Drosophila melanogaster: one gene and its partner. Each later gene encodes a partner of the first gene's protein in a complex. Each region holds a gene or a part of one and is shown on either strand. Other genes may lie near its edges. The genes, in order: Cyfip and Hem.

Evidence for each region.
Region 2: Cyfip (region 1) and Hem share a complex: the UniProt entries of both Drosophila melanogaster proteins name them as parts of the WAVE complex.

Annotation. Positions count from the first base shown.
Region 1 is NT_033777.3:15,326,944-15,338,865, forward strand, and holds Cyfip (cytoplasmic FMR1 interacting protein), read left to right. Parts: upstream 1-6,322; 5' UTR 6,323-6,445; coding exon 6,446-6,652; intron 6,653-6,722; coding exon 6,723-8,554; intron 8,555-8,609; coding exon 8,610-8,902; intron 8,903-8,962; coding exon 8,963-9,075; intron 9,076-9,129; coding exon 9,130-9,329; intron 9,330-9,390; coding exon 9,391-9,926; intron 9,927-9,987; coding exon 9,988-10,082; intron 10,083-10,135; coding exon 10,136-10,522; intron 10,523-10,580; coding exon 10,581-10,793; 3' UTR 10,794-11,422; downstream 11,423-11,922. Other genes in the region: CG6236 (uncharacterized protein), read right to left, coding at 1-370, 433-620, 687-837, 984-1,102; ea (easter), read left to right, coding at 1,990-2,050, 2,237-2,623, 2,688-3,418; mRpL9 (mitochondrial ribosomal protein L9), read left to right, coding at 3,811-3,882, 3,940-4,614; Fkbp39 (FK506-binding protein 39kD), read right to left, coding at 4,761-5,605, 5,673-5,885, 6,070-6,085; Nagk (N-acetylglucosamine kinase), read right to left, coding at 11,641-11,922. UniProt on the Drosophila melanogaster protein: Plays a role in guidance and morphology of central and peripheral axons and in synaptic morphology. Also required for formation of cell membrane protrusions and for bristle development.
Region 2 is NT_037436.4:22,281,255-22,291,898, forward strand, and holds Hem (HEM-protein), read right to left. Parts: upstream 6,942-10,644; 5' UTR 6,734-6,941; coding exon 5,554-6,733; intron 5,489-5,553; coding exon 3,288-5,488; 3' UTR 3,100-3,287; downstream 1-3,099. Other genes in the region: Srpk79D (Serine-arginine protein kinase at 79D), read left to right, coding at 1-529, 1,308-1,578, 1,650-1,846; IleRS (Isoleucyl-tRNA synthetase), read left to right, coding at 7,543-7,685, 7,750-9,001, 9,059-9,909, 9,975-10,467, 10,529-10,644. UniProt on the Drosophila melanogaster protein: Plays a role during growth of the oocyte.

The DNA of each region.
Region 1 (11,922 bases):
ATCCACGCTGCCTGCCCCGGACAACCGCTTCCTTGTCTCCGGCAGCTCCAGTTCCGTGAAACCCGTCAGTAGGGGCACCAGCGCCTGTGGCGTACCATCGCCCACAATGTTATAGCCTTTGAGAACGGTGGCGCCCAACTGTTGGGTGAGATACTCGTAGGTCCTGGGCAGCTTGCGAATGAAGGCATTGCGACTCAGCGAATCGAAGCCAAACATGAGGACATTGTAGATGGGAGCTGTGGCCCCATCCTGCATCTGCTGCTGGGCCTGCGCAACCGCCTCGGGTGGTAGGACGGCCAAGTTCGGGGAGAAATTGGAGGCCGGTGGACGGGGCACCGTATCCCGTATTCCGTGGGCCATGCCAAACCAACTAAGTACATGAAGATCATTCTTTAAAGTATAGGCATAACTATAAAATAAGATAATGGTCACCTCTCGCCGCTGGAGGATCGACAGACCACCTTGACAAAGTCGCTGGCCTGCAGCACATAGGGCTCCTTCATGCGCAGTGACTGCCCAAAGCGAACCTTGTAGTCCGACTTGCGAATAATGTCCGTGTAGGAGCAGATCACATCCTCGTGGCTGGACGCAATCTCTGGTCGCACAAAGCAAATGGATTTCTTTGGGGGAAACGAGGTTTAAGTTAAGCAATCAGCTCTTGTAGAAGGGGCCCAGTCCCAACCAACCTCACACATGACCCAGTCCATGCCCTCGCCGCAGTTTATTCGCTCAACCGGCTTGTAGAACTTCATGATGTCCGGATTGTCCAGCGGCAGATGGGGATGCCGGCACTCGCCACGATTCACAGCCGATCTTATGGAGCGCTCGATGATTTCGCTTTAATTAAATACAAAATTGAATTAGTTGCAAAAGATAAATACTCTTTATCACAAATATGCGCATATGTACATATACATATGTATGGACAAACATCGTACAATCAATATCCCAAGCCGCTGTGACGCACAACTAGACATACTTACATTTTGAGGCTCTTATCCAGATCCCGCTCCACGTTCAACACATACCAGGTGACCAGCAGGACCACCACACAGCAACATGCTGCAATCTTGGGGACAGTTCCCCGCCGCACAAAGCGCATTTTGAATAAATTATGAGCTGCAAATATCGGACCAGACACATGAGACTTGCATTCGCATTATTGCTGCACATACAGCACTCACTCGGCACTCAAGCGACGTACTACTTACACCACTGCCGATCTCCAAACTTGCCGCCTATTCGACCTTTACTAAATATCCACGCTCATTTTTTAAATTAAACATTTAACTTATCACCAGCTGCGACGTACCGCTATATGCGAGTTGCCAAAACAGTGGCAAACAACATTGCGAATTCGGTCATACTGTGTTGTTTGGCAACGCGACCGCTGCAATTTAAACTGCGACTTTAAACTTTGCTTTAGGTCCGATTTAAAGTCGGTAGAACTTTCAGTTTGCTGTAGAACGAAATATACCGTTAGCTTATCGTTAATGATAGTGCTTTTTGCTATCAAAACACCATGTGATACAATCGAACTTAGGCGGGGATTAAATAATGGTAGATACTCCCTTAAATTTGCCGAGTACTTTACTTACACTCAGCATGTGACAAAGTAAATTCTATTAGTACCAAAGTTAAATAAGCCAACTGACAATTACTAAGAATAATAATTGGAAGAGAGATAAAGATCTGCTCCCACGATTATCTTCATATCTGATTTGGAGACTCGCCAAAAAGCTTGCGACAAAGCTCGCAGGCCGAGAACCGCGTCCGTCCGAAGATTCAGTTGTGCGCCAAGCTCAGCTTCGGCCTCTTCGTTTCACTCCGCTCCGCTGTGGCACCTGGTATCGTCCATATTATCGCGCCGTTTATTTTGATAACTGCTTCTGCGGTCGGTCTGTAATATTGTTTTTAGGCAAAACATTATCCGCAAACCACTGACGACGTCTTGAGAAAGGACTAACGAGGTCCGATTGCGCAACGAAAATGCTAAAGCCATCGATTATCTGCCTCTTTTTGGGCATTTTGGCGAAATCATCGGCGGGCCGTAAGTAAATAGAAGACTGCCAAGATGCTCATCTGCTGGACATGACTAGCTTAACGTATTTGTTTTTTTTTGCCGCGGGCCTTCACAAGTCGCTGGAAACCTGTTTCCGTACTTCCATAGCTAATGACCTAATTTATGTATTCACAATATTGGTAAGCTCTCTGAACCTAAAGTCTGGATTTCCAGAGTTCTACTTCCCCAACGAGGCGGCCCAGGTGCCCAACTATGGGCGCTGCATAACGCCGAATCGGGAGCGTGCGCTGTGCATCCATCTGGAGGACTGCAAGTACCTATACGGCCTGCTGACCACCACCCCGCTCCGGGACACGGACCGGCTTTACCTGAGTCGCAGCCAGTGCGGCTATACGAACGGCAAGGTGCTCATCTGCTGTCCGGACCGCTACAGGGAGAGCTCATCGGAGACGACGCCACCGCCCAAGCCCAATGTAACCAGCAACAGCCTTCTGCCGCTGCCAGGACAATGCGGCAACATCCTGTCCAATCGCATCTATGGCGGAATGAAGACCAAGATCGACGAGTTCCCCTGGATGGCTCTAATTGAATACACCAAAAGTAAGTAGAGGGGCATCGTCTTAAGTCTGAACGCACTTATCCACTGGTTAATTCCTACATGCAGGCCAGGGCAAAAAGGGTCACCATTGCGGCGGATCCTTGATCAGCACAAGATATGTGATCACAGCCTCGCATTGTGTCAACGGAAAGGCACTGCCCACCGACTGGCGGTTGTCCGGTGTTCGTTTGGGCGAATGGGACACCAACACTAATCCCGATTGCGAAGTAGATGTGCGCGGCATGAAGGACTGCGCGCCACCGCATCTGGACGTGCCCGTGGAGCGTACTATACCCCATCCCGACTATATACCGGCCTCCAAGAACCAGGTCAACGACATAGCCCTGCTGCGTCTGGCCCAGCAGGTGGAGTACACCGACTTTGTGCGACCCATTTGCCTGCCTCTGGACGTCAATCTGCGGTCGGCCACCTTCGACGGCATCACCATGGACGTGGCCGGCTGGGGCAAAACGGAGCAGCTGTCGGCCAGCAACCTCAAGCTGAAGGCAGCCGTGGAGGGATTCCGGATGGATGAGTGCCAGAACGTCTACAGCAGCCAGGACATTCTCCTCGAGGACACACAGATGTGTGCCGGCGGCAAGGAAGGCGTCGACTCCTGTCGCGGTGACTCCGGGGGACCGCTCATCGGCTTGGACACCAACAAGGTGAACACCTACTACTTCCTGGCCGGCGTCGTGTCATTTGGACCGACTCCGTGCGGTCTGGCCGGATGGCCAGGAGTTTACACGCTGGTGGGCAAGTACGTTGATTGGATACAAAACACTATTGAGTCCTGATTGTAAAATGTCATATTGTAAATAAATTCGACTAACGGTTTCCGTTTAAAAACTGCTTCACAGCGTGTACGCATACTGCATGTCGATGGGCGCGTTCGCCGAAATATTGGCATAGTCAATCTTTTATTTTGTAATGAAACTATTAAATTAAAATTGACAGTCATAATACTTTCAAAGGTACATTTTTTTTAATCAATTAAAAGGTAAATTGGGCAAATTATTTTGCTTTATTAAAATGTAAAGAAATAGTTGCAATAAAAAAACTAAATTCATAATCGTTTTCAAAGTCACTGAAAATTTTACTGCTGAACTCACGCAGATTAAATAATCATATCTGGCAACACTGCAAACTGGCTGAGTAGTCTGGCAACGCAGACATATTGGTGGTAAAAATGTTGAAGAACATCTACGTAACGCCGTTAAATTTGCTTAAATCGGCCACCAGCCTGCAGCAGCAAGTGCGGGTAAGTGCTCTCCTGGATTAGGGAAGCGATCCCCATTCACCACCAATTTGCTTCCAGACCACGTTCGTCCTGAAGCGCAAATATGACCCGCCGCTGCACAAAACCAACGAGAAACCCCGCCGGATGAGGGCCAAGAACTTCATCTACGAGCTCGTGGACGACACGCTGGTCAAAAAGCGGCCCAACATCGAGGTGGTGCTAAAGACCTTCGTCGAGGGCGTTGGCGACAAGGGCGACGTGGTGTCAATGAAGCCGCACTTTGTCTACAATAAGCTCCTGCTGCCGGGTTTGGCCGCGTACAATACGCCGGAGAATGTGGCCAAGTACGCCAAGACAGAGGCTGAAAAATCGACTGTTAAACACAGCTCCCCCTACGCCCAGCGCACGGTCAACATGCTGGAGACCATTGTGCTGGCGGTGGTCATGAACAAGGATGAGCCATGGGTGCTCGAGCCCTGGCACATCAAGGCCTCGCTGCGCAAGACTGGGTTCTATTGTCGCGAGGAGTGCATTACCCTGCCCAAGGAGCGCATCGAGGGACCCGACCTGAAGAAGGAGAACAAGGACTTCTACTGCACTGTGACCATAAACAAGCTGGAACAGGCGCGACTCAAGTGTCGTCTGCACCACTGGAGCACAGATCCCAGCGAACGGCTGCCTTACGTACTCGAGCACTGGAAACTCCAGTCTGAGCCCCTGCTGGATGTATGTTCACCCGAAAAAACCCCTTAGAGACCCCATACCAAATACATGCGATTGTTACAAAACTGTTGATTTATGAACAGCCGGAAAACAGAGTTTATTTAACATTTTTATCAAGTTGTACGACGTGGATACTTACTTAGGATTACAAGTCTATATGATGTTAATATAGTGCACTAATGCACAGCTTTCAGTTCCACTTCGAAGACGAGAGTGGAGTTCGGTCCGATCTTCGGTGGAGCTCCCCGTGCGCCGTACGCCATGTGCGGGGGGCAGGTAATGACTCGCTTGCCGCCCACCTTCATGCCGGCGACTCCCACGTCCCAGCCCTTGATGACCTCTCCGCCGCCCAGGGCGAACTTAAATGGTTTTCCCTTCAGGAGGCTGTCGAAGGTCTTGTTGTTCGACTGCAGGCGGCCGATGTAGTAAACAGATACGCGTTTGCCCTGCTTGGCTTCTTCGCCTTTGCCGACGACCTGATCCACAATCTTCACGCCTCCGGTGATAGTACGTGGATCCTTAGAAGCTGGTTGCTGCTTGGCTGGCTCCTTGGCCTTGGGTTGTTCCTTCTTGGCCTCTGGCTTCTCCTTCTTCTTTTGCTGCTGCTTGGCCTCCTCCTTCTTGGCCACACCGTTCTGCTCCTTGCCAGATTTCTTGGCGCTAGCGCCAGGAGAGAGCTTGGCAACCTTGGCCTTTGGCTGTTCCTCTTCAGCTTCGGAGTCGTCGCTGTCCTGTTCATCCTCCTCGCCACTCTCCTCGTTATCCTCATCAACATCGTCGTCATCTTCCTCCTCACCATTTTCGAGGAAGGACTCGTATTCCTCGATTATCTGGCTATCGTCATCAGTATCCTCCTCGTCCTCCTCGCCGCTCTCATTCTCATCCTCATCATCTTCAGACTTTTTGCTATTCTTGATCGCCTTGGAGTTCAGCAAATTCTCGATCGTCATTTGATCGTCATCCTCATCATCTTCGGAATCAATGTCGTGCAAGTAGCCCAACAGAGAAACGCTGGCGTCGCCTGTGAAACGAACGAAAGCGTCAGAAACGGATAAACATGCGAACATAGTGGACATAAAAGGTCTTACCGGCGGTGTAGAACATGATGCGATCGCCCTTGCTGAAGTTCAGGTCGAGCGCAACCTGTGGAATGGCCTTGGTCACGGTGGCCACGATGTACTCCTGCTTCTCGGCAGCGAGGTACAACTTGGCCTCCTGGCCCTTGTCGAGTGCCACGCCCGAGATGTGGAACGACTTGATGATCGTCTGCGAGTACTTGCGCTCAGGCTTCATGTTCAAACCTGGAAGAGGACACAGTTGGTCAAAAACATGGTTTACTTTACATCGGCGTGCAAATGGCGCCGCTCCACGCTGCCGGTAAATCGAGCGGCAAGCACGTGGTGGCAATAAAAGCGCGGTCGGAGCACCCAAGAGCTCGTTGGCACAACCAGCCCGGAGGGGGCAAGTGAGATCAGTTCGACTTACCCCAAAACATCGACATCTTGCAGAATTGTAGGCTACTCTTAACGGAAAATGCAATATAAAATAGGAGAAATTGAGTTCGCTAAAACGAAACGGAACCACAGACGCTAGTGATGTGATGTGCCGCCAATGCGCCGTATTTATCGATTATCTTTCTCTTATCGAAATTAGCGGTGCGCAGCCATATAAGCATAAGCACATCGTAGACGCCAACCGCCAGCAAAAATGTGCTAATTATGGCCACGTGTCCACGCACCCAGGCGAATGGTAAAAGTCGTGTTGTATTTGTGGCGAAAAAAATTTGTGTCGATTGGATTGGGGCCCCGCCTTGTTAGAATTTAACCATTTCGCGCTGCTGGAGCATGATAAGCAGCCCAGCATGACGGAGAAGATTACGCTAGCCGACGCGCTGTCCAACGTGGAGGTGTTGGACGAGCTATCCCTGCCGGACGAGCAGCCCTGCATCGAGGCGCAGCCCTGCTCGATTATCTACAAGGCAAACTTCGATACGAATTTCGAGGATCGCAATGGATTTGTCACGGGTATCGCCAAGTACATCGAGGAGGCCACCACCCATGCCAACTTGGTGAGTTAGCGTATCCGGCTTATCGCATTAGCATTACTCACAGCTCTGAACCCCTTCTCTCCGCCCGCAGAATGTGCTCCTGGACGAGGGGCAGAAACACGCAGTAATGCTCTACACCTGGCGCTGCTGCTCGCGCGCCATTCCGCAGCCCAAGTCCAATGAGCAGCCGAATCGCGTGGAGATCTACGAGAAGACGGTCGAGGTGCTAGCCCCGGAGGTGAACAAGCTGCTCAACTTCATGTACTTCCAACGCAAGGCCATCGAGGCCTTCTCCGGCGAGGTGAAGCGCTTGTGCCACGCCGAGAAGCGCAAGGACTTCGTGTCCGAGGCGTACCTATTGACGCTAGGCAAGTTTATCAACATGTTTGCCGTGCTGGACGAGCTGAAGAACATGAAGTCCAGCGTGAAGAACGATTACTCCACCTACAGGCGAGCTGCGCAGTTCCTCAAAGTGATGTCGGACTCGCACACCTTGCAGGAGTCGCAGAATCTGTCCATGTTCCTGGCCACGCAGAACAAGATTCGCGACACGGTCAAGGACACGCTGGAGAAGATCGTGGGCTACGAGGATCTGCTCTCAGATGTGGTCAACATTTGCGTGCATATGTTCGAGACAAAGATGTACTTGACCCCTGAGGAGAAGCACATGCTGGTAAAAGTTATGGGCTTTGGCCTGTTCCTTATGGACAGCGATGCGTGCAATATCAACAAACTTGATCAAAAGAAGAAGATACGGCTGGATCGCATCGATCGCATCTTTAAGAACCTGGAAGTGGTGCCCCTCTTCGGCGACATGCAGATTGCTCCCTTCAACTACATAAAGCGCAGCAAGCACTTCGATTCCAGCAAGTGGCCGCTGTCCAGCTCAAACGCCATCAGCCCACAGGCGGATCTAATGGTGCATTTGCCGCAGATACGCGAGGATCACGTCAAGTACATTTCGGAGCTGGCGCGATACACAAACGAGGTGACCACCACCGTCAAGGAGAATCCCTCTGATGCCGAGAACCGGATTACGGCCGACCTGGCTCTGCGCGGCCTTCAATTGCTGTCCGAGTGGACCAGTGTGGTCACCGAGTTGTACTCCTGGAAGCTCCTGCATCCGACTGATCATCACCAGAACAAGGAGTGCCCCGTGGAGGCTGAGGAGTACGAGCGGGCCACCCGCTACAATTACACCTCGGAAGAGAAGTTCGCGCTGATCGAGGTCATCGCCATGATAAAGGGACTGCAGGTGCTAATGGCGCGCATTGAAACCGTATTGTGCGAGGCTATCCGGCGTAACATCTATTCCGAGCTGCAGGACTTCGTGCAGCTTTCGCTTCGTGAACCGCTGCGAAAGGCCGTAAAAAATAAGAAGGATCTTATCCGGAGCATCATCATGTCGGTGCGAGAGACATCGGCGGACTGGCAAAAGGGCTATGAGCCCACCGACGATCCAGTGGCCAAGGGCAAGAAGGATCCCGACGGCGGCTTCCGCATCCAGGTGCCTCGCCTCAATGTGGGACCTTCCTCCACTCAGCTATACATGGTGCGCACCATGCTGGAGTCTCTGATTGCCGACAAAAGCGGCGGCAAGCGCACTTTGCGCAAGGACATCGACGGAAACTGTTTGCTGCAGATCGACACGTTCCACAAGACATCGTTCTACTGGAGCTACTTGCTCAACTTCAGCGACACGCTTCAGAAGTGCTGCGATCTCTCGCAGCTGTGGTATCGCGAGTTCTACTTGGAGATGACCATGGGTCGTAAGGTTAACAAGTGCTTGGTGCGGCATCAGCACAACGAGGAGTGCAAGGATCTGATCACCATGGAGAAGCGCATTCAGTTTCCGATTGAAATGTCCATGCCCTGGATCCTAACCGATCACATTCTGCAAACGAAGGAGCCCTCAATGATGGAGTAAGTAAATGGCGAATAGGTGAAATGATCTGAACTAACTAAGTGCCTCACACAGATTTGTCTTGTATCCCCTGGACTTGTACAACGACTCGGCGTACTACGCACTCACTGTCTTCCGAAAGCAGTTCCTGTACGACGAAGTGGAGGCCGAAGTCAATCTGTGCTTCGATCAGTTTGTCTACAAGCTGAGCGAGCAGATCTTTGCCCATTACAAGCAATTGGCGGGCAGCATCTTCTTGGACAAGCGATTCCGTTTGGAGTGCGAGGTACTCGGTTTCAACTTCCAGTCGTATCCCCGCAATAATCGTTATGAGACCTTGTTAAAACAACGACATGTCCAACTTTTGGGTAAGCAAAACACCCATTGCATCATGATCTTTTGGTTAATGGTTTCTCCATTCGTTTAAGGCCGTTCTATTGACTTGAACAAACTGATCACACAACGCATAAACGCCAACATGCACAAGAGCATTGAGTTGGCCATCAGTCGTTTCGAGGGCAACGATATAACCGGCATTGTGGTAAGTGGAATCCTACAGATGTCTAGAATCGGTCTCTAATTCGCTTAATTTCAGGAACTCGAAGGCCTGCTAGAGGCGAATCGAATTTGCCACAAGTTGCTAAGCAAGTACTTGGCCCTGGATAACTTTGACGGCATGGTAAAGGAGGCTAACCACAATGTACTGGCGCCTTACGGCAGAATAACACTGCACGTCTTTGTGGAATTGAACTACGACTTTCTGGTCAATTACTGCTATAATGCAGCCACGAATCGGTGGGTGTGCCGCCAATTTTCTATTGTTTAAAATACTTATTATTACTATTATCTCTTGCAGTTTCATTCGAACCAAAGTGAATCTTTCGTCGTCACAGGCTATTCAGCGTGAGAAGCCGCCACAAATGTCCCATTACTATCTGTGGGGTTCCAAGCAGCTGAATGCTGCCTATTCCACACAGTATGGCCAGTACACTGGCTTTGTAGGTTCACCGCATTTCCATGCCATGTGCCGCCTGCTGGGCTATCAGGGCATAGCAGTCGTCATGGACATTATACTGAAGGACATTGTTAAGCCACTGATCCAGGGCTCGCTGCTGCAGTTCACCAAGACGCTGATGATTGCCATGCCCAAGTCATGCAAACTACCCCGTTGCGAATATGGTTCGCCTGGAGTGCTCAGCTACTATCAGGCTCATCTTACAGACATCGTGCAATATCCGGACGCGAAGACAGAGCTATTTCAGTCTTTCCGGGAGTTTGGCAACAGCATTATCTTTTGCCTGCTGATCGAACAGGCGCTCTCGCAGGAGGAGGTGTGCGATCTACTGCACGCCGCCCTCTTCCAGAACATCTTTCCCAGACCTTTTTGCAAAGGTATGTACAAGTGGATGCTTTCATGGGTAGTTTTTCTTACTTACATCTCTACCCATTTCAGAGAATGAAAAACCGGAGGCTAAGCAAAAGCGTCTTGAAGCACAGTTTGCCAATCTGCAGATAGTTTCAAACGTGGAAAAGATTGGCACTGCAAAGGTGAGCCCCCAAACTTAATTGATTAACTTTATAATAATAATCTTTACCAACAGCAAGCAATGATAGCACGAGAGGGAGATTTGCTGACTCGTGAGCGTCTTTGCTGTGGCCTCAGCATTTTTGAAGTTATTCTCAACCGCGTGAAGAGCTATTTGGACGACCCTGTGTGGTGTGGTCCTCCACCGGCCAACGGGATTATCCACGTGGATGAGTGCTCGGAGTTCCATCGCCTTTGGTCGGCTCTGCAGTTCGTTTATTGCATTCCAGTCAGGGGAACGGAGTACACCATCGAGGAGCTCTTCGGCGAAGGTCTGAACTGGGCTGGCTGCGTCATGATCGTACTGCTGGGACAGCAGCGTCGCTTCGAGGCTCTGGACTTTTGCTACCACATTCTGCGGGTACAGCGCGTCGATGGCAAGGATGAGGACGTAAAGGGCATTGTAAGTTCTAACATAACTACCAAAGTGCCCAAAGTACAATTTGAATATTCCTTAACAGCAATTGAAGCGAATGGTGGATCGGATTCGTCGGTTCCAAGTATTAAACTCACAAATCTTCTCCATTCTCAACAAGTATCTAAAGGGCGGCGATGGCGAGGGCTCAAATGTGGAGCACGTGCGGTGTTTTCCACCGCCTCAGCATCCCTCGGTCATATCGTCCTCGTCGCACTACCAGGATCCCCAGAAGCTGCGGCAGAGCATAAACAATTGAAGTCGCCCGGAAAGGGATGCATTTAAGCTAATCGCATACAAATAGGTTACACTTAATCGCAGATGAATTAGTCCCCAGGAAAACAGCGACGTAGAAGCCGAAAAGCCAAGTTTTCTTGGCTATGCTGCCGAAACTTTGACAGTTTTTTTAGTCAAAGTGGCGGTCTTGGTTCTATTTGAATTCGATTTTATTGAAAATCTCTTTTGGTATGTCGCATTCAATCTTACAGTACGTTAAATGTTTTATCCAAGCAATTATATATATATACATGTAGATGTAATTTTGATTCACTTGCTACGGCATTCGATTCAGCTACTCGTACATTATCCCAAATACTCTATTCTAAGCTCCCTAAGATATTATGTTTTTGGCCTATGTATTCCTTCGCTACAAACAGATACATTTATGTTCTGCTTCCCGATTCGAGAATCAAATTAGCCAAAGAATTGAATTGACAGCACTGCGAAAATAAAAACAAATTGGCTTTAAACACAATCAAAGTATTACAAAGAAGATGCCGCACATGTATGCCCACATACATGAAAAGAAGCCACGACAGCCAACAATTGAGACACATACAATTAATACAATGAACATTATCGAATAAAATTTTCATACGTATTTCTAACAAACCCAACAAAAAAAGTTTAGAAAGTATATGTAGGTGAGTTTGATGCAAGATTGAAAGGGAAACTTCTTTACTTTCCAGCGGATTTCGTCAAAGGATAAAATTATTTATTTTTTGATAAGCTATAATACTACCTATCCGTACCACTAACTGGAATATTGATTGCGAATTTGGCAATTGGGAAGTGTATTGCGGAATGGGTTGTCAAACACAATTTATCTAACAGTTACAGCCGTTGGTGGCTTTGGCTTTCTTTCGAGGATCGGTGTACGTGTACAGTACTGTGACGTTGTCGGCATAGTTTCTCGGAAGATCGAAGTCCGCACTATCCGCACCCAGGTAGCAGGCTCCGTAGGCACTGCTCTTGGTGATGCGCACCAGCTTGAGGTCGAAGTCGATGGTTGTCTTAGCGAGTTCACTGATGAAGGCCTCCTGCAGCAGATCCCAGCTGGACCACACGGATCCTACGCACACTACGCTTAGGTCCCCGGACTTGACCAG
Region 2 (10,644 bases), on another chromosome or scaffold:
TAGCTCCTGCCCCTCCCACAACACAGCCACGATAGCTAAGTCCAAGATCAACTCGAATATTCTGAGCACGTGCACGTCCTTGACATCGACCAACGAATACTGTTTCACCAACACGAACACCACAACAGCCTCCACACCAAGTGCCCCTCCAAGTGCCACTCCTTCCTCCGCCCCTGCCTTAGCCTCTGCCACGCCCCCCAGCACGTGCACGCCCTCGTTCACGCAAATAGCTCCTTCTGCAACAGCTCCGGCTACCAGTACAACCTGTACAACATCAGCCGAGTTCTATGATGGCGATCATAAAACAACAAGCACATCAACAACAACAACATCCAATGCGATATCCTCCGCAACAACAACAACCGCGACAACGACAACAGCAATCGCTAAACTAAATGTCCATGCTAATGCCATTCCTTCGCAGAACCAGAGTCAGAGTAGCCAGAACAACACCTACACGATCCAGTCGCTCATTGACAACAGCAACGTTCGGGTAAAGATCGCCGACTTGGGGAACGCCTGCTACGACGTGAGTATCCTTTTAGATGCTTAAAGCTTCAAATATATATATTTTCGCGTCAGATAAACACATCATCATGATTTCACTCGTAGATTATGACTCAGTATGACTCAATAAAGTATATATGTATGTATATTCATAATCAGGAATGCAAACTAGAAAATTTCAATATCCAAAATTGTTTTATTTGCGCGTGGCAGTTTTGATTATTGGCAACATCTGGAATCAGCCTAATCTCAACATTCGAGCTTTTATAGGTCCTGAGATCGAGTAGTTCATACGGACAGAAGAACAAACGAACATGGCTATATGGCATCCAAAATAACACTTCACTCTACCTGTTACATACTTTTCAATGATTCTAGTGAACCCTTTTACTTTACTTTAAAGGGGGTATGGAGTTATTTGTACTTTAGATTCTTCCGATTCGGTATAAACCAATTTTTTGCCATTATTCTATTACGGTTTTTATTTTATTAGAATGGGACCAATTGTCTATAGAAAATGCAAATCAGAAAATTTCAAGAAATCAGGTCTACCTAAATAGTGGACGTGGGAGGGATAATTTTCCGAATTGAGGGCGTGACAGTTTTTTGTGGTTTGTAGGCATTAGAGTGGGCAAAATGTTTTGGCATATCAATAGAAATTGCAAGGCAGAAGGACATGGCCAGATAAACTCTTCTAGTAATCCTGACCGAGAATATATACCTTTTAAGGTCGGAAACACGACCCCGCACATGGTTTTCAAAAGTAATAAGTCCGTTTTCGGCTTTCTATGAATTCTCAGTACCATCACTTTACTGAGGACATTCAGACTCGCCAGTATCGATCAATCGAGGTTCTTTTGGGAGCGCCGTACAATTATACCGCCGACATCTGGAGCACAGCCTGTTTGGCCTTCGAGCTGGCCACCGGCGACTACCTGTTCGACCCTCACGCCGGAGAGTCTTACAGTCGGGACGAGGACCACTTGGCGCATATTGTGGAGCTGCTGGGCTCCATACCGCAGTCGGTGATCTTCCGCGGTAAGCACGGGCTGAAGTACTTCACCAGCTATGGTAGGTATCAAATCGAATTTAGCTCAAGGAATGGTGTGTGATGTGTGACCCCTGTTGATTCCCATTTGCAGGTAGCCTGAGGAACATCACCAAGCTGAAGCCCTGGAGTCTAATGAACGTGCTGGTGGAGAAGTACGACTGGGACCCGGTGGAGGCCAAGAAGTTCTCCGACTTTCTGCTGCCCATGCTTGAGTACAATCCGGTTATACGGGCGTCGGCAGCGGAGTGCCTGCAGCATCCGTGGTTGGAGCAGGAGGAGTTCGTCTAAGAGGCTCATGGAGTGACTAGACAGCCAGAGAGACACAGGCATAGGCACAGTAAAATATTGCATACATAACATACGTATTTCGTACTCGTATTGTATTTCTAGGCTTAACTTTTATATGCAAACAATTTGCCATAAAGAGGAGGTAGCAGGAAAATGGGATGAGGAGCTAGCATTAAAGGACTCGATCGAAGCACACACATTTTACACTTACGAAATGCGGACGATGTGGGGGCGTTCCGCGTCGAATTTTTTAAGCTTTTTAATTTTTGTACTTGAGAGCTTTAAAATGTAATTACTAAAGAAGCGATTTTACTTTTAACGACAAAAGCAAACGAGAGAAGTAGCGCAAATGTTTTTCAAGTTTTATTTCGACGACGTGCATATAAGTATATACATACATATACACATATATTTTTTATTAACTGAGAAACAAAAACAAAAGACAATGACGACAATTTTTAGTCAACAGATGCCTAAACTGACTGACTGAAAAGGAATACATTTTCATGCGAAACCAAGTAAAACCAAATCAGTGAGAAATGCTAAATAGATTGTACGAACTAGCAAAATATTCAGCATCACATAAATAACAATACCTTCTATAATATTAATAAGCAAGTATGTGTATAATTAACGAAACCCCATTGTAGATATCGAGAATGTTCACAAATACAGATGTAAACTCAAATATTGACAGCTTTTTAGCAGAGTGTAGTGATTTTGGTACATTTAACCGAACCCATTTGTAGATGTTTAGGCCTATGTTGATTACGAGCAGATTTGAAAAGATGCCCTACTTACCCGATTTCGGTTTGCAAAACTTATCATTTAACCATCCGTGAAAAAGAACCTATCCCAGATCATGTAATTCAAAAAGAATTAAAAACAATAATAAATCATTGCATAAAAGTCTTTGTATCGGAATTGAAAACTCAAAATCGAAATTTAAATACTACCAATGATAACTACTGAGAAATCATATTACAAAATAACGAAAACATATTTTACTACTTGCCTACAAGTATTTGTACACAAGCCTACAAAGTAACATTGAACGTGACCAAATAATTTAATATTGCGGAAGATTTTTCCCCCAAACTCATATTTAATATACACACACGTGTGCGCATGTGTCCAAATGAAATTTAACAGAAATTGAAGCGGAGGAGCTGCACGTTCGCGGGAGTGGACACATATTTCAATAAGCCGAAATAAAGAATATACATACCGATCCGATCTAGAGACAGCTTATTAATGTGGGATACTTATTTGGGTTGTATAAGCACTTTATTCGAAGTCGTACGAGTATAAAAATGCAGAGTCTAGAATACATTTGGGTATGTTTAACAGTTTTAAAGTATGTTAGATTAGCATAGTGATCGATAGTCGATCGGCGGATAAACTACATAAGCATTATGTGGAATACACAGATCGGCTCCATTTAGAGTGCCAGCCCTAAGATCTGTTCCTGCTTGTATACGCCATGGTACGCGTTGCGTATAAGCACGTAGGGAAAGCAGGACTCAAGCAGATCCATTGTGAGGAAGGGCGATTGTTTGACGATTTCGTCCAGCAGCAAATAGATGGACTCTCGGTTCCGTGTCGCCTCTTTGTCGGACTCCTGGCCCAAGCGCAGTAGGGAAGAACTGGCCAGAGCAAGGAACTCTTTCATGCGGTCCTCCATGTCACTTTGACCGCAGATGGTAAACAGGGCTCCGAAGATGTTATTAATGGCCGCCGCCATGCAGTGCGTGTTATTTGAGTGGCCATCAATTGTGGCTCTGTAGAAGGAATTTTCGTTACGGGCCAGTTTTGGTATAGACACTGCCACAAAGACCATCAGTAGACAGGCAGTGAGGTGCTCACCCTCATCGAATTCTGGCTTTTTTGATTTCAGTGTAGTTGCTAATGTGGGGTCTACCTTGCATAGCAGACCCGCTGCTGAGGCCATCTCGGAAGCAACCCTAATTTGGTCGCCTCCGGGCAAATGTTCCTGAAAGTCCTTCACTGAGCTAAGCAGGAAGGGTATGCGCTTGTCCAGCACATCAACGAGGGCTTCATGCACCAGGTTGCGGAAACATATGATCACACCAATGATCGTCATGCGTTGCAGCACGCGGTCCACGTCCTGTAAGCGCTTAAATTGCTCCTTCATCACTTCAGGTTTGTCAAAACTGGTTCGCAGTGTAATGAGCACTTCCTTGTTGGTGCTCACCAGCGACTTCAACTCTTGCACCTGGTTTGCTATGTGCCACATAAGTGTTTCGTTCAATGTTTTGATACCGTAAGGTCCCACAAGTTCTGCAAGTGCTCGCAGCTCGTTGAGATCAGAGAATTCCTGCGGGTTAAATGGTACCCAGCCCTCGGGCGAAATGGGAACAAAAGCCTTTTGGTTAATGGAGAACACAATGTTGCCAGCGGAGACACGCCTTAGCAGAACCTCACTGTACCAGGTGTTGTACAAAGCGGCAATGGTTTTCTCGCCATGAGAGTCTAAAGCCTGTGTTTGCTGCAACAGGCAGTTGTTGAAAACTCGTGTTATGTCTATGTGCACGTAGTTCTCTACTGTCTGCAGCACGTTCATGTAGGCTCGAACGCTGGCCAGCAGCTCCGAGGGCTTGGCTATCTCCATTGTCTCCTGGTTGAACATCACCATGCCAACAAGATCCCGGGAAAAGCGGTGTTCCAGGTTCTGACAGAGATACTCGCGAGGGGCAAAAGCAAACTCCCAAACGTTGACCGTGGGGCAATAATTGATTGCAAAACAAAGCTCCGTCAGGGCCATGTGCAACTTGTCCATCGTCGTCAGATCCTCTCGTGTCTTTCGGTACGACTCGTCTCCCGGCTTTCGTATGTCGTCAAAATGCTTAGACTTCGATTTGTCCTTCTTCTTACGAGCAGATTGTACGGAAAGAATCTTAGCACAGTGTTTTGGCAATAGAGCGTCTGCCATTGTGCACTGCTCATCGCAAATTGTGGTTATAATGTTTTTAGCCTCCTTAGCCATTTCCTCAAGAAATATATTTACCACGCTGAGAGACCTTTCACGTATATGGTGTCGCTCCTCCGGGCACATTTCGTGCGTACAATTTTGGAAGTGGCTGCAGATTAAGGGAAACGCTATGATGTAGCGGTTCTGCGCGGGAAACTCCAAGCACATGTGGAATTGGTCGTCAAACATTTTGTTATAGAAACAGAAGATACTGAGATCCGAGGTTTCTACTAGTATTTCGTCCAAGTTATCTACCACCCTAGTGTGGAAAACCATTGAATCCAGTAGGCGGGCCAGCTCTGCATGCTCTGCGATCCTAAGTGCAGCCTTTCCCACACTCATGTACGTTTGGAGGCGGAACCAGTCCAGGCGGAATGGTCGGAAATAAAAGAGTTCGTTGTCTTCCACCTGCTTAACTGTCAGGGCTGCAGCCGTGTTGTAGAGCGAACTGAAGATTATGCTTTCGTCTTCTGGACACATTTGCAGACTTTGCATTCGAATATTAAGATCCGTGGCATCGAATCCGGACAAGTATTGCACGTAATATCGCTGCATTACCTGGCTGTATTTACGCACAAGAGCGCGGAGTTCCTCCATGTGGAATAAGAGCTCCGGCAGCTGTCGGTCTACAAGATCTTCATTGCTCTTTCCTATAAATTTAAAATAGTTAAGGTTCACAAATTTTAATTTAATCGTAAGAAAATCCTTAACTAACCTTTATTTTTGAGAAGAGGTGGGTTGTCATTATGCCTGAGGAGCCATAGAATCTCATCGCGCGCAAGACAAAGACCGATGAAAATGAATATTGCCTTAGGTCCCAGGAGGCCTGGTTGGTCGGTCATAATAAGAGCTAGCTCCTTCAAGGCTGTTCGAAGAAACTTGCGCCGCTCCCGATGCATTAAAGCAGCTTTTTGAACCGCCGTGTTGTAGGCTTCCTTTACTTCTCCGATCCGCTTGCTGTAACCTTTAATTCCGTCGAAAGTAGCCTGAATGTATTGATGAATTTGCAGGACCTCGTCGCGGAACAAGGCCACAACCCAGCTTGACTCCAGGGCGGAGAGCCAGATTTTGTTGACTTCCGGGTACTGTCCGAGCATTTGATGGTTCAGCAGCAAGCCAAAGATTATCCAGCGGTCCATTGCCTCCAGGGATATGTACTCGCAGGACATGGTGTCAGTGCGGACGGCCTTAAGAAGAATGGCCGGATTGCCTACCAGACTCAACTTTTGCATTTCCCTCCACTTGTCTGCTGGCAGGTTTCGCAGTGCATAGATGGAGGTCAGCGACCGCAACGCACTGGTTAGCAGGCGCTGGTGGGGAATGAATTCCTCGGCCAACTTTTTTAAGGGGACCTCGTAGTCCAGAATCATCTGCCCCAAGCGGGGGAAGCCCGTGTCCGCCTGATTGTTTTGCAGCTCGTAGGCGGCATTGTACAAGCCCAGAACTGCCTTGCGGTCCTCGACCCTAGACAAAACAATCATCAAGGACACGTAGGTCACAACCAAGTCCAGATAATATTTGGTCAGCTCGAAGTTCAATGTGATGTCCAGGTGAATCTGGCAGGCGTCCATCGTGGTGAGCAGTTCGCATACATTGTCCTTGAAATCAAGTAGGTCCACGAATGTGTGGTAATACAGGGACAGCGACTTAATAATCTCCGCTTTGATGTTTACAATAGCATTGAGCCCTTTGACGTCGATGTTGGGGAACCGCTTCACGATAAACTTGATGCTCGATTCCAACGACTTCTCGGAGAGGAAGCCTGGCTTCGACTTGGTGTCGCCGCATGCTTTCTTGATGTTGTATATCCGCGTAAGAATGCCCAGGCCGCGGTCATTCAAGATGATTAGTTTCTCAGCTATCTTCTGCTGGTTCGGAAAAATTGGGCGTGCCATATCCGATGACTGTTGGCGACGTCGAATGGCTGAAGGCGAGTTTCCGGTGGAGCCCAGAACACAGGTGTGCGCTGGCGAGACGTATTGGGAGGCGTGCAAGTGCTGATTTGCCCAGTACTTATACTTTTTCGTTTGTTAAATTGGCCGAAAAGGAGCGACACAAAAGTGTACACATTACTCTTCCTCTTGTTTTCGCGTTAGTGATGACCAATGGGCTGATAGCAAAGATATATTGCTATCGATAACGATAGCTACCATATATATGCTAAACTATTGATTGTTAAAAAGAAAATATACTGCTGAGAAAAAAAACATATGGCTTAATATAATTTAAGATAATTTTTTTATAATTATATATTACAGTAATTTGGTTATACTACAAATTAATAATAGCTGGTATTTGGGGTTTTAATTTATTAGAATTATTTGTCTAAGTCAGGAATAATTGCTTTCAAAACTATTGCATAGTTTATTCATTCAATTGCCAATGGCTTTCTTACTTAGTAACTTACAGTTCAGTTTTTTATTCTTATGGCTAACAAATTTATTAAAGTTGTTAATAGTAAATAAGCCTTTCTTTTTTTTTCAGTGCTGTCGTCAGCTGATTATCAAGGATGCCGCTCATCGGAACCTACTATCGATATCGCGAACCCATGAGCTAGAGAGCGATTAATGAACCACTAGTTCCGTACCTCGGGCACGTTGTGTGCCACGCAAAAACGCCGCAAGTCAGTTGAATTTCTGATATAAAAGGTGGGCGAATAAGCTCTGTTACTTGATAAATAATACAACAGTGAACTTTGACAGCCATGGGAAAAAAACTAGAGCGGAACGACGTGTGTCGGGTGCCAGAGAACATTAATTTCCCGGCCGAGGAGGAGAACGTACTGCAGAAATGGCGACACGAAAATATCTTTGAAAAGTGCAGCCAGCTGTCGAAGGGAAAGCCCAAGTAAGTGCCGCATACGATTGCATCAGCCGATCGCCAAATTTTGTGCTAATTTTCCACCTCCAAGATACACGTTCTACGATGGACCGCCCTTTGCAACCGGGCTGCCCCACTACGGACACATTCTTGCTGGCACCATCAAGGACATCGTCACACGGTACGCATACCAGCAGGGATACCATGTGGACCGTCGCTTCGGCTGGGATTGCCACGGACTGCCCGTGGAGTTCGAGATTGACAAGCTGCTGAATATCAAGGGTCCTGAGGACGTGGCCAAGATGGGAATCGCAGCCTACAATGCCGAGTGCCGGAAGATTGTCATGCGTTACGCAGATGAGTGGGAGAATGTGGTGACGCGCGTGGGTCGCTGGATTGACTTCAAGAACGATTACAAGACGTTGTACCCATGGTACATGGAGTCCATTTGGTGGATCTTCAAGCAACTGTTCGACAAGGGTCTGGTCTACCAGGGCGTTAAGGTGATGCCCTATTCCACCGCCTGCACAACGTCCCTTTCGAACTTCGAGGCCAACCAAAACTACAAGGAGGTTGTGGACCCTTGCGTAGTAGTTGCACTGGAGGCCGTTTCGTTGCCCAATACCTTCTTCCTAGTGTGGACCACCACGCCATGGACACTGCCCTCAAACTTCGCATGCTGTGTTCATCCGACGATGACCTATGTAAAAGTGCGCGACGTAAAGAGCGACCGACTTTTTGTTCTCGCAGAGTCTCGTCTCTCTTACGTGTACAAATCGGAGACGGAGTACGAAGTGAAGGAAAAGTTTGTTGGCAAAACCCTTAAGGACCTTCACTACAAGCCGCTTTTCCCTTACTTTGCGAAGCGAGGAGCTGAGGTGAAAGCTTATCGTGTCCTGGTCGACGAGTACGTGACTGAGGATTCCGGTACGGGTATTGTGCACAATGCTCCCTACTTCGGAGAAGACGATTATCGTGTGTGCCTCGCTGCGGGCCTCATCACAAAGTCCAGTGAGGTTCTCTGCCCAGTGGACGAGGCAGGACGGTTTACTAACGAGGCAAGCGATTTCGAGGGCCAATACGTCAAAGATTCTGATAAGCAAATAATGGCCGCGCTGAAGGCACGAGGAAACTTGGTTTCCAGTGGCCAGGTGAAGCATAGCTACCCATTCTGCTGGCGGTCAGACACGCCTCTTATCTATAAGGCGGTTCCTTCCTGGTTTGTGCGCGTCGAGCACATGTCTAAAAACCTGCTTGATTGCAGTTCCCAAACGTACTGGGTGCCGGACTTCGTCAAGGAGAAACGTTTTGGAAACTGGCTGAAAGAGGCCAGAGATTGGGCTGTAAGTTTTGTAAAGGAAACTTTTTTGTTATGTTTTTAAATCAAATTATATATCTAGATCTCCCGCAATCGCTACTGGGGCACGCCGATTCCTATCTGGAGGTCGCCTAGCGGTGATGAGACCGTCGTTATCGGCAGTATCAAGCAGTTAGCCGAGCTTTCCGGCGTTCAAGTCGAGGATCTTCATAGAGAAAGTATCGACCACATTGAAATACCATCGGCAGTTCCTGGAAATCCACCACTGCGTCGCATAGCTCCTGTTTTTGACTGTTGGTTTGAATCAGGTTCAATGCCGTTCGCACAACAGCATTTCCCTTTTGAAAACGAAAAGGACTTTATGAACAATTTCCCGGCTGACTTTATAGCAGAGGGTATCGATCAGACCCGAGGCTGGTTTTACACACTCCTTGTGATTTCGACGGCGCTATTTAATAAGGCACCATTTAAAAACCTCATTGCAAGTGGACTGGTCTTAGCTGCTGATGGTCAAAAAATGTCGAAGCGCAAGAAGAACTATCCCGATCCAATGGAGGTGGTCCATAAGTATGGAGCGGATGCTCTCCGACTGTACCTTATCAATTCGCCCGTCGTAAGGGCCGAGAGTCTGCGTTTTAAGGAAGAAGGTGTGCGCGACATAATCAAAGATGTGTTCCTACCGTGGTACAATGCATACCGATTCTTACTACAAAATATCGTTCGATATGAGAAGGAGGATTTGGCAGGAAATGGACAATATACTTATGATCGTGAACGCCACTTAAAGAATATGGACAAGGCCTCCGTTATAGATGTGTGGATTTTGTCTTTTAAGGAATCCTTACTCGAGTTCTTTGCCACTGAGATGAAAATGTATCGCCTGTACACTGTCGTACCCCGGCTGACAAAGTTCATTGATCAACTTACCAATTGGTATGTTCTATAAAATTTAATGATTTAAGCATGAGTTAGTTAACGCGTGAACAATTCTCTTACAGGTATGTTCGACTAAATCGACGTCGCATCAAGGGTGAATTGGGAGCTGATCAGTGCATTCAATCACTTGACACGCTTTACGATGTTCTATACACAATGGTTAAAATGATGGCTCCTTTCACGCCTTACCTTACGGAGTACATATTCCAGCGGCTGGTATTGTTCCAGCCAGCCGGAACCCTAGAGCATGCTGACTCAGTTCACTACCAGATGATGCCGGTCAGTCAGAAAAAATTTATTCGAAACGATATTGAGCGCTCGGTGGCTTTGATGCAATCAGTTGTCGAGCTGGGTCGTGTAATGCGGGATCGAAGAACCTTGCCTGTTAAGTATCCTGTTTCGGAGATCATAGCAATTCACAAGGACTCGCAAATCCTGGAGGCAATCAAGACCTTGCAGGACTTCATTCTTAGCGAACTCAATGTTCGAAAACTTACGCTAAGCTCTGATAAGGAGAAATATGGTGTAACATTGAGAGCAGAGCCTGACCACAAGGTTTGTTTATTATGAATTTCTTACCTATAAAGATAACAAAATGGATTACTTAATTTTACAGGCGCTAGGTCAGCGGCTTAAGGGCAATTTCAAAGCGGTTATGGCTGCTATCAAGGCTCTCAGGGATGATGAAATTCAGAAGCAAGTTTCGCAGGGTTACTTTGACATTCTGGATCA